2 linked regions of the Daphnia pulex genome follow. Each later gene encodes a partner of the first gene's protein in a complex. Links are inferred from orthologs where the notes say so. Each region holds a gene or a part of one and is shown on either strand. Other genes may lie near its edges.

Region 1 (4,338 bases):
GATGATAGCGAAACTGCCAACTACATCTCTGCTCATACTAAGGTAAGGATAACTCAAATTTTCATTTAAACGAAAATAATGCTCTTAACGGTCCATCTGCTTGTTACTAGGTGTGTCCCAAGTGCCAAATTTGTATAGAAAAGAATGGAGGATGTAACCACATGCAATGTTATGGCTGTAAACATGACTTTTGCTGGATGTGTCTGGGTGATTGGAAGACTCACGGATCAGAATATTACCGTTGTTCACGCTATGAGGAAAATCCCAACGTAGCCAATGAGTCTTCTCACGCTCGGGCCAAAGAAGCCTTGAAAAAATATCTCCATTACTTTGAAAGAGTAAGTTACTAGAAATTGGCCGATCAAAACTTTGTACTTTTATTGCTATTTTCGAATATTTTTTAGTGGGAGAATCATGCAAAGAGTTTACGATTGGAGGAGCAAACATTGCAACGGATCCGTGAGCGTATTCAGTGTAAAGTCATGACCGGCACAGATGGTACTTGGATTGATTGGCAGTGTTTATTGGATGCTGCCGCCTTGTTGGCACGCTGTAGGTATACTCTTCAGTATACTTACCCTTACGCTTACTACATGGATGCAGGTCCTCGAAAGGAATTGGTGAGTGATTCGGAAAACGTTAATGCCTTTTTACCAATATTAACGTTCCCACGTCTGTTTATGTTAGTTCGAGTACCAACAGGCTCAGTTGGAAGCCGAAATAGAAAATCTATCGTGGAAAGTGGAACGGGCCGAAACGACCGATAGAGGCGATCTGGGCATTCAAATGGACGTTTGCGAGAAACGGCGCACCACGCTATTGCAAGATTTCCTAGAGTCGTGAAATATTTGCTGGTTAGCAAATGGATTGAATAGGATTTGAAAATTTTTACCAACGCGCCTGTAACTACGGTCGATAGGTTTTTGGCTTTTACCTGTCGCTTTAGATAGGAATCGAAATTGCGATTGTCTATTGTCATTTGATATTTTTCGTCCTATACGTTTATCAGTTGTCCTCAACGTTTTTTGTTTTTCGTTTTTTTTTACTGCGAAATTTTCTTTTTAGTTTTGTTTCGTATTCCCATAGTAACAAATGAATAAATTGCATCACTGAAACGTTTACTATTTCCCTTTTTCTTATATTGTCTGAGCAATTTTTTATTAAATAAGGTGCTGGATACTCCGTTACCCTTGTTTATTAAAAAAAATTATTCAGCCCCATAAATTTTGAAATTTTTTTTTTTATCTTCCATAATTTAAGTGCCTAAGGGGTTTCTTTTCAAAAACACTTCTGTAACGAGTTGTAAAACGTTGGCGCCAGGTGTCTGGCCAGTTGTCATTTAGTGCGTGGTCTGAAAAACGACAACAAAAATGGACTAAATGTAAAACTTTGTTTAATATAATTGGTTTCTTGAAATAGAGAAAAAACAGTGTGTGAAACAATATAACATACTTGTTATTGTATTGTAATAAAATGGGTCTCGACTTTGACATTCGTGAGTTTCTTAACCACATCAGAGCAACTAAACCGCCGTATGAATGCCCCGCGAAAGACTGCGGCAAAATCTACAAAAGTTTCGCGGGCATTCAATTCCACTTGTTTAATTTCAATCATGAAAATCCTGGTAGTTCTTTACCTTCATCAGAATCACCACAGCAGGTTTTGACTTTTGCAGAAGCCCAGAAGATTGTTGAACTTGAAATTGATAGCAAACTTCAAAGGATAAACATTTTTGACTCCATAAGCTTTGTGGGCAAAGAGGACTATGAGAATGAAGTGCCTATGAAAAATGAAGAAACACCAAGCCAAGACTATGCCAAAACTCCAACAAGTAAAAGTCACACTCCAAAACATCTGCAGAAAAAGACCCCGAAGCCAGTTGAACCAGTGGTTCGCAAAGAAGAAAAAGTCTCCCCTCCTAAGCTGCCGGAGGCATCATTTTCCATCATCGAAACATGGAGCCAGCCAGATGCCCCAGAAAGACCAAAGTCTTACTATCGCTTCATTGAGAAATCTCCTGATGAAATGGAAGATGAAGTGGAATTTGATATGGACGAAGATGATTTTACTTGGCTAGAGTTGATAAACAAACAAAGAAGATTTGAAAACCTTTCTGAAGTAAACCCAGAATCATTTGAATTGCTAATGGATCGACTGGAAAAAGAGTCTTACTTTCAAATGCAAAGTTCTGGGAAAGATCAAGGTTTTTATTTCTATTTTTCTTTATTAAGTCTGCAAAATAAAGATGTCTAATTTGAGAAAAAATATCTAACTAGGACCACCTATCGATGAGGACGCTGAATGTTGCATATGCATGGATGGAGAATGCCAAAACAGCAATGTGATCCTCTTCTGTGACATGTGTAATCTCGCTGTCCACCAAGAATGCTATGGTGTCCCGTATATTCCTGAGGGCCAATGGCTTTGTCGTCGATGTCTACAGTCACCTTCACGAGCGGTTGATTGTGCTTTGTGTCCAAATCGAGGAGGTGCTTTCAAACAAACGGATGATAACCGATGGGCTCATGTAGTTTGCGCTCTGTGGATACCAGAAGTCTGCTTTGCTAATACAGTAATAACGTTCAATCTTCTCATATCATTGCAGAGATTACTAAGCATTTTATTATTATTATTATTCAGGTTTTCCTTGAACCGATCGACAGCATACAAAACATTCCTGCCGCTCGTTGGAAATTGACGTGTTACATTTGTAAGCAACGAGGAGCTGGATCTTGCATTCAGTGTCATAGGGCCAACTGTTACACGGCGTTCCATGTCACTTGTGCGCAGCAGGTATTGTTACGACTGTAATTAAAGCATATTTATCAAAATACTTACTTGAACTCTTCTAACAGGCTGGGTTACACATGAAAATTGACACGGCCAAAGACTCACCAAGCAGTGGACCCAATATCAGCATCCGTAAAGCGGCCTACTGCGATGCTCACACACCAGCCGATTCTGATTCAAAGCCATTGGTCGGTGATCACGGAATAGGTGAGGTTATTCGCAAAGCGCAGTCGAAAGCTGCTTTCCGCGAGAAAATGCGAAAGGCTCGTAAAATCCTGGCAGAGAAACGTTCTGCAGCTCCTATTATTTCCATCCCCACTATACCTCCTGAACGCGTCCAGGAAATCGCTTCTTCCGTTCCCCAAATTCAAGGGAAAATTCGGTATTTATATTATTGTCCTACCGCAAAATAAATTTCTGTACTAATGATATTGTTTGATCTAGATTTATCCAAAGATTGATTGCCTACTGGACTCTGAAACGGCAGTCCAGGAATGGTGTGCCTCTTTTACGTCGTCTTCAAACAAGCCATCCTTCGCGTAGGCCAGCATCTTCAGCGGCAACGGGCTCTGGGTCTGGATCAGGATTGGGCGGTGATCAGATTGTTCAGCCTGACGATCTCTTAGGCCAACTGCGTTATTTTCAACGACTTCGTCAGGATTTGGAACGAGCTCGGCTGTTATGCGAGTTGATTCGCAAAAGAGAGAAAACGAAGCGAGAATTGATGCGGATTAAAGAGAAGGAATTGGAACTCCAAATCTATCCGTTGCAGTATCTAATGCGACGTTTGTTACAAACTCTGAAGGAGCGTGATAACAACGACATTTTTGCCGATCCGGTTGACATCAGCCAAGTCCCCGACTATCTCGATTTTATACAACAACCGATGGACTTTTCGACAATGCAGAACAAGTTGGACGCTGGGCAATATCCAACGCTGGAAGCTTTCGAAAAAGATTTCAACCTGATGATCCACAATTGCACTGTCTATAATGCACAGCACACCATGTATTATAAGCAAGCAATCAAGCTCAAAGAAGGTGCTCAGGTTCTATTTAAACAACTTCGAAAGGATTTGGAAACATTAGTCATCAGCAACAACAATTGCGACAGTAGCAGCAACTTAACTCCACTGCCACCGTCGGAAATAAGTCAACCTGAAAGCAAAGTCGAAGAAATCGATAAGTACGTCTCGGAAAAGTATCGTGAATCTGATACCCTTGAACAGCAGCTTTCGAAACTCGAAGAATTCCTGCGTAAAGCTCAACAAATGCCAACTGGACCCCTCAAAGTTAAACGAATCCGAATTTTGAGAAACGAATTGGCCAAAGTTCGTAGGAAATTGTCTTTGCAAGCTGGCGGGAGAGCGGCTGCTACCCGGAGCAGCAGTAGCAGTCCATCGAAATCACGACCTGAAAATGAAACACGTGATGAAGGCAGCAGTGACTCGGATTCGAGCGGAAGTAGTAGCAGCGGGAGTAGCAGCAGCAGCAGCAGCAGTAGCAGTAAAAGCAGCAGCGATTCTAGTATTGCTGGTCCTCCAGTCAA
Region 2 (3,582 bases), on another chromosome or scaffold:
TGTAGATCAGCAACATTTTCGTCGAATTCACCGTCTGCTAGCAGACAAAGAACTTGGCAAAAAATGACAGCCAAGATCAAATACTGCAACACAAATAAAGAAAAAAAGAAAAAAAAAACAAAACATGAGTGACATATATATACGACATAAACTTTCTTAATTTACGGGACATACCTTCATTCTTGATGGACTGGAGAGCTAGTGCGGACACTGTTGACAGGAAGAGAGCTCAAACCAGAATGTGGATCTAGTGGATGCTGTCGAACTTATTTTATACCTAGTTTTGACCCAGACATTCATGCTTTCCCATCTAGTAGAACCAAAATCGAAGAGATCTTAATGTTCTAATTCGCTTAACAATTACGTGTACTTGAGAATTCGATGCAGCGGTTGTTAAATGGAAACAACGGGATTAAGTATCTTGTTACGACTTAAGACAACAAATAACAATGTGGATTCAAGGTCAATGTGACACAGACGTCTTGCATAACCATTCCTCGATAAAAAGTCTAAAACCATTGAATAAAGGGAGAAAAAATTACAAAGACCTGATTTTAAATTACCTCGTTAAACGGAGCAGCAATAAGTTTATTTAAAAAACCGATAATGGCATGTGGATTATTTTCGAATGAGCAATGACAATGAGATACAACAACTAATTTTCAGTCTTCACTTCTTTTTCCGATCGGCGGAACATTTCGGGCAGAACCATTTCCCCTTCGGTTTGGTTGTTAGGCTGACACAGGCAAAGTGAAACCATTCGATTGGACACTATAAATAGCAAAAAGCAAATTACAAGTTTGGAGTGCATAAAAACTGTTTTCATGATTTACGTCAGGATTATCGCAGCCAATCATTTCTCCATAAGAAACCTGGTGGCAAAGGCAGTAAGTGGGTTCGTTCGGATCTACCGGCATATCAAGAACATCAGCCGAATGCCCGATGGTAGAGAGTCCAAAAGAGGAGGAGCTTTCTGGAGTCGTTGCAACAGCAACGTTCTTCTTACTAGATTTTTTACGAGCTGGGCCTTCATCAACTATTCATATCAAGGTTTTTTAATCAAGATTATTAAGTATAATTAAATTGTATGGATTTAAACCTTTAACAGGAGCTTCACAGGCAGTGCTAATATTTGCTTTGTTTCCTTTCTTTTTCTTTTCAACTTTTTCCACCATTTTCTTTTTGTCTTCTATATTGTGATTGAAAAAGTTATGATAGAATAAATTGAATTATTGATTTTTTACTTTACTGATTTACTTTTGACTGCAGGTGGAGTATCCTCTTCTGCTGAGAGTGTTGCAACAGACGATTTCTCTTTAATTTCTGTTTCAAATCTCGCCAGATCAGAGTCAAGACGCCTGATGTGCTTGTCAACCTAATAAGACCAAATAGAATTAGTTCATAACTATAAATTGAGTAAATATCAAACCAATTCATAAGTCTGAATGGCTAGTTGGACTTTATCATCTCCATATTCTTTTGCTTTATTGAAAAGCTTCTGAATCCTTTCCATTTGTTCTTTTCTTTTTTCTGGACTTGTTTGAGAGACTACTTTTAGGTAGTCTTCAGCATGGGAATCAATTTCTTTCATCAAGGATTGTGCTCGATTGTCCAAATCTCTCATTAGAGAAAAGTTTCTCTGTAGTTCAATAGGCAACGATTCTAAACCTAAATTTTGATAATTTTTCAATACAAAGTGCATTTTTGCTTTCATTTTTTGATATCTTAGCAACGACCGGTGGCCATCGATAAAATTATTGGTAGAAACTTTCAGACTTACTGTCCAAGTAGTGCTCAAGGTAAACTGCACTTGTCATTTTCAGAAGTTATAAAGTCAAAACTCAAATTTTCAGAAGGAAGCAAATCTTTGGCTTGAATTTGGAATGGCTCAGATTGCAACTTAATTTGTTCTTTCGTTCACTTGGTACTCGATTATCAAATCAACTGCTAGATCAGCTAGGCTTCTTTCCCTCCTCTGGATCAACGTAAACAAAAAAAGCTTTAACTTGCTAGTTGGCTACTTGCTAGTGACCCGTATGTTTTTCTATTTGAGGCCTCTTCTGACCATTGCGCGTTTAAACCCATTCCCATAATTAGGGCTGTGGCCCGGGCGATGAAAACCCGGGCCACCGCCCGGGCTGAACGAAAAAAAACCCAACCCGACTCGACCCACCGAGGCATTTTTTTTAACGGGGCGGGCGACGGGTTGAACCCCCGAGTCCGCGGGCCAACCCAGCGGTGGCGCCATCTAGTAGTAACATAGAGAAGCTCGTTATTCTCTATGCCTGCGGCCTCAAGAAAGACCTAAAAAGATTGCCGCCAAATGCTCTACGAGAATTTCGTAGCATGAAAAGTAGGATTAGTGGTAGAAAAGGGCGTTCAGGGGTGAACAGAAGACAGAATTGACGTCTCACTGTTGGAAGAAGAAGATAATTAAGAAATTTAGGGAATTTTTTAAAGTTTGTAAAAAAAAAAGTGTGTTTGACCCGATTTTTTACCCGGGCCGTTACCCGGCCGGTAAACATTTTTTGACCCATGGGTCGGCCTGGGCCAAACCCATTTACTCTGTTGGCCCAACCCGCTCCAACCCGCGGAAGAAGAAAAACCCATCTAAAAAACCCATTTAAAAAAAACCCGCTAAAAAACGTCCGGGCCATAGCCCTACCCATAATCCCATTCTTCATTCTTCCTGGGCTGTGGCCCGGGACACAGCCCGAATTAAAGAAAAAAAACCTCAAAATAATATCAGCCCACCGTGGCATTTTTTGTACGGGGCGGGCGACGGGTCGAACCGCCGGGTCCGCGGGCCAACCCGAGTGGTGGCGCCATCTAGTAGTCACATAGAGAAGCTCGTTATTCAAAATGCCTGCGGCCTCAAGAAAGACCTAAAAATATTGCCACCGCATTGAATGAAAAGTACGATAAGTGGTAGAATAGGGCGTTCAGGGGTGTTCAAAAGAAAGCATTGAAGTGTAACTGTTGGAAGAAGAAGATAATTAAGAAATTTAGGGAAATTTAGGGTAAAAAAAAGTTTGTTAAGATTTTTATCCGGGCCGTGACCCGGACTAAATTTTTTGTGACCCGTGGGGCGGACCCATTTACGCTATTGGCCCAACCTGCTCAAACCCATGTTTAAAAAAAAACCATCTAGGCAACCCATGTAAAAAAACCGCCCAAATACCTCCGGACCACAACCCTATTCTTCCATACATAAGGCATGTAGAAGGGCATGGAGTCTCTCCATACGGGACAGGATTTTTCCCGTGACATGTCCCGGGCTTTCACGTCACGGACCATAGCCCTTGGTATGGAGAGATCCATGATTCTTCTGAAGGGCTGTAACCCAGGCCTTGAAATCCCGGGCCACTGCCCGGGTTGAAGGAAAAAACATCAAAAATATGGGAACCCACTGAGGCATTTTTTTAAATGGGACAAACGCCTGGTCCGCGGGCCAATCCGAGCGGTGGCGCCATCGAATAGTAGCATAGAGAAGCTCGTTATGCTAGATGCCTTGGGGCTGAAACAAAGACAAAAATATAAACAGTTCAAAGCTTAAAAGATGGTTTCTAAACAGCATCCCTT

What was found.
Region 2: bromodomain-containing protein 1-like (region 1) and inhibitor of growth protein 4-like share a complex: the UniProt entries of both Drosophila melanogaster proteins name them as parts of the enok complex. The link is inferred for Daphnia pulex from reciprocal best matches to the Drosophila melanogaster genes Br140 and Ing5.

What each region holds. Positions count from the first base shown.
Region 1 is NC_060023.1:7,793,001-7,797,338, forward strand, and holds the start of bromodomain-containing protein 1-like, read left to right. Parts: upstream 1-1,296; 5' UTR 1,297-1,473; coding exon 1,474-2,203; intron 2,204-2,276; coding exon 2,277-2,572; intron 2,573-2,640; coding exon 2,641-2,793; intron 2,794-2,855; coding exon 2,856-3,172; intron 3,173-3,234; coding exon 3,235-4,338. Other genes in the region: potential E3 ubiquitin-protein ligase ariadne-2-like, read left to right, coding at 1-42, 111-338, 405-620, 688-843. UniProt on the Drosophila melanogaster protein: Scaffold subunit of the histone acetyltransferase (HAT) Enok complex which has histone H3 acetyltransferase activity.
Region 2 is NC_060018.1:8,154,924-8,158,505, forward strand, and holds inhibitor of growth protein 4-like, read right to left. Parts: upstream 2,058-3,582; 5' UTR 1,818-2,057; coding exon 1,781-1,817; intron 1,669-1,780; coding exon 1,430-1,668; intron 1,376-1,429; coding exon 1,258-1,375; intron 1,190-1,257; coding exon 1,100-1,189; intron 1,037-1,099; coding exon 834-1,036; intron 772-833; coding exon 670-771; 3' UTR 553-669; downstream 1-552. Other genes in the region: uncharacterized protein LOC124210402, read right to left, coding at 1-83, 175-180. UniProt on the Drosophila melanogaster protein: Component of the Enok complex which has a histone H3 acetyltransferase activity.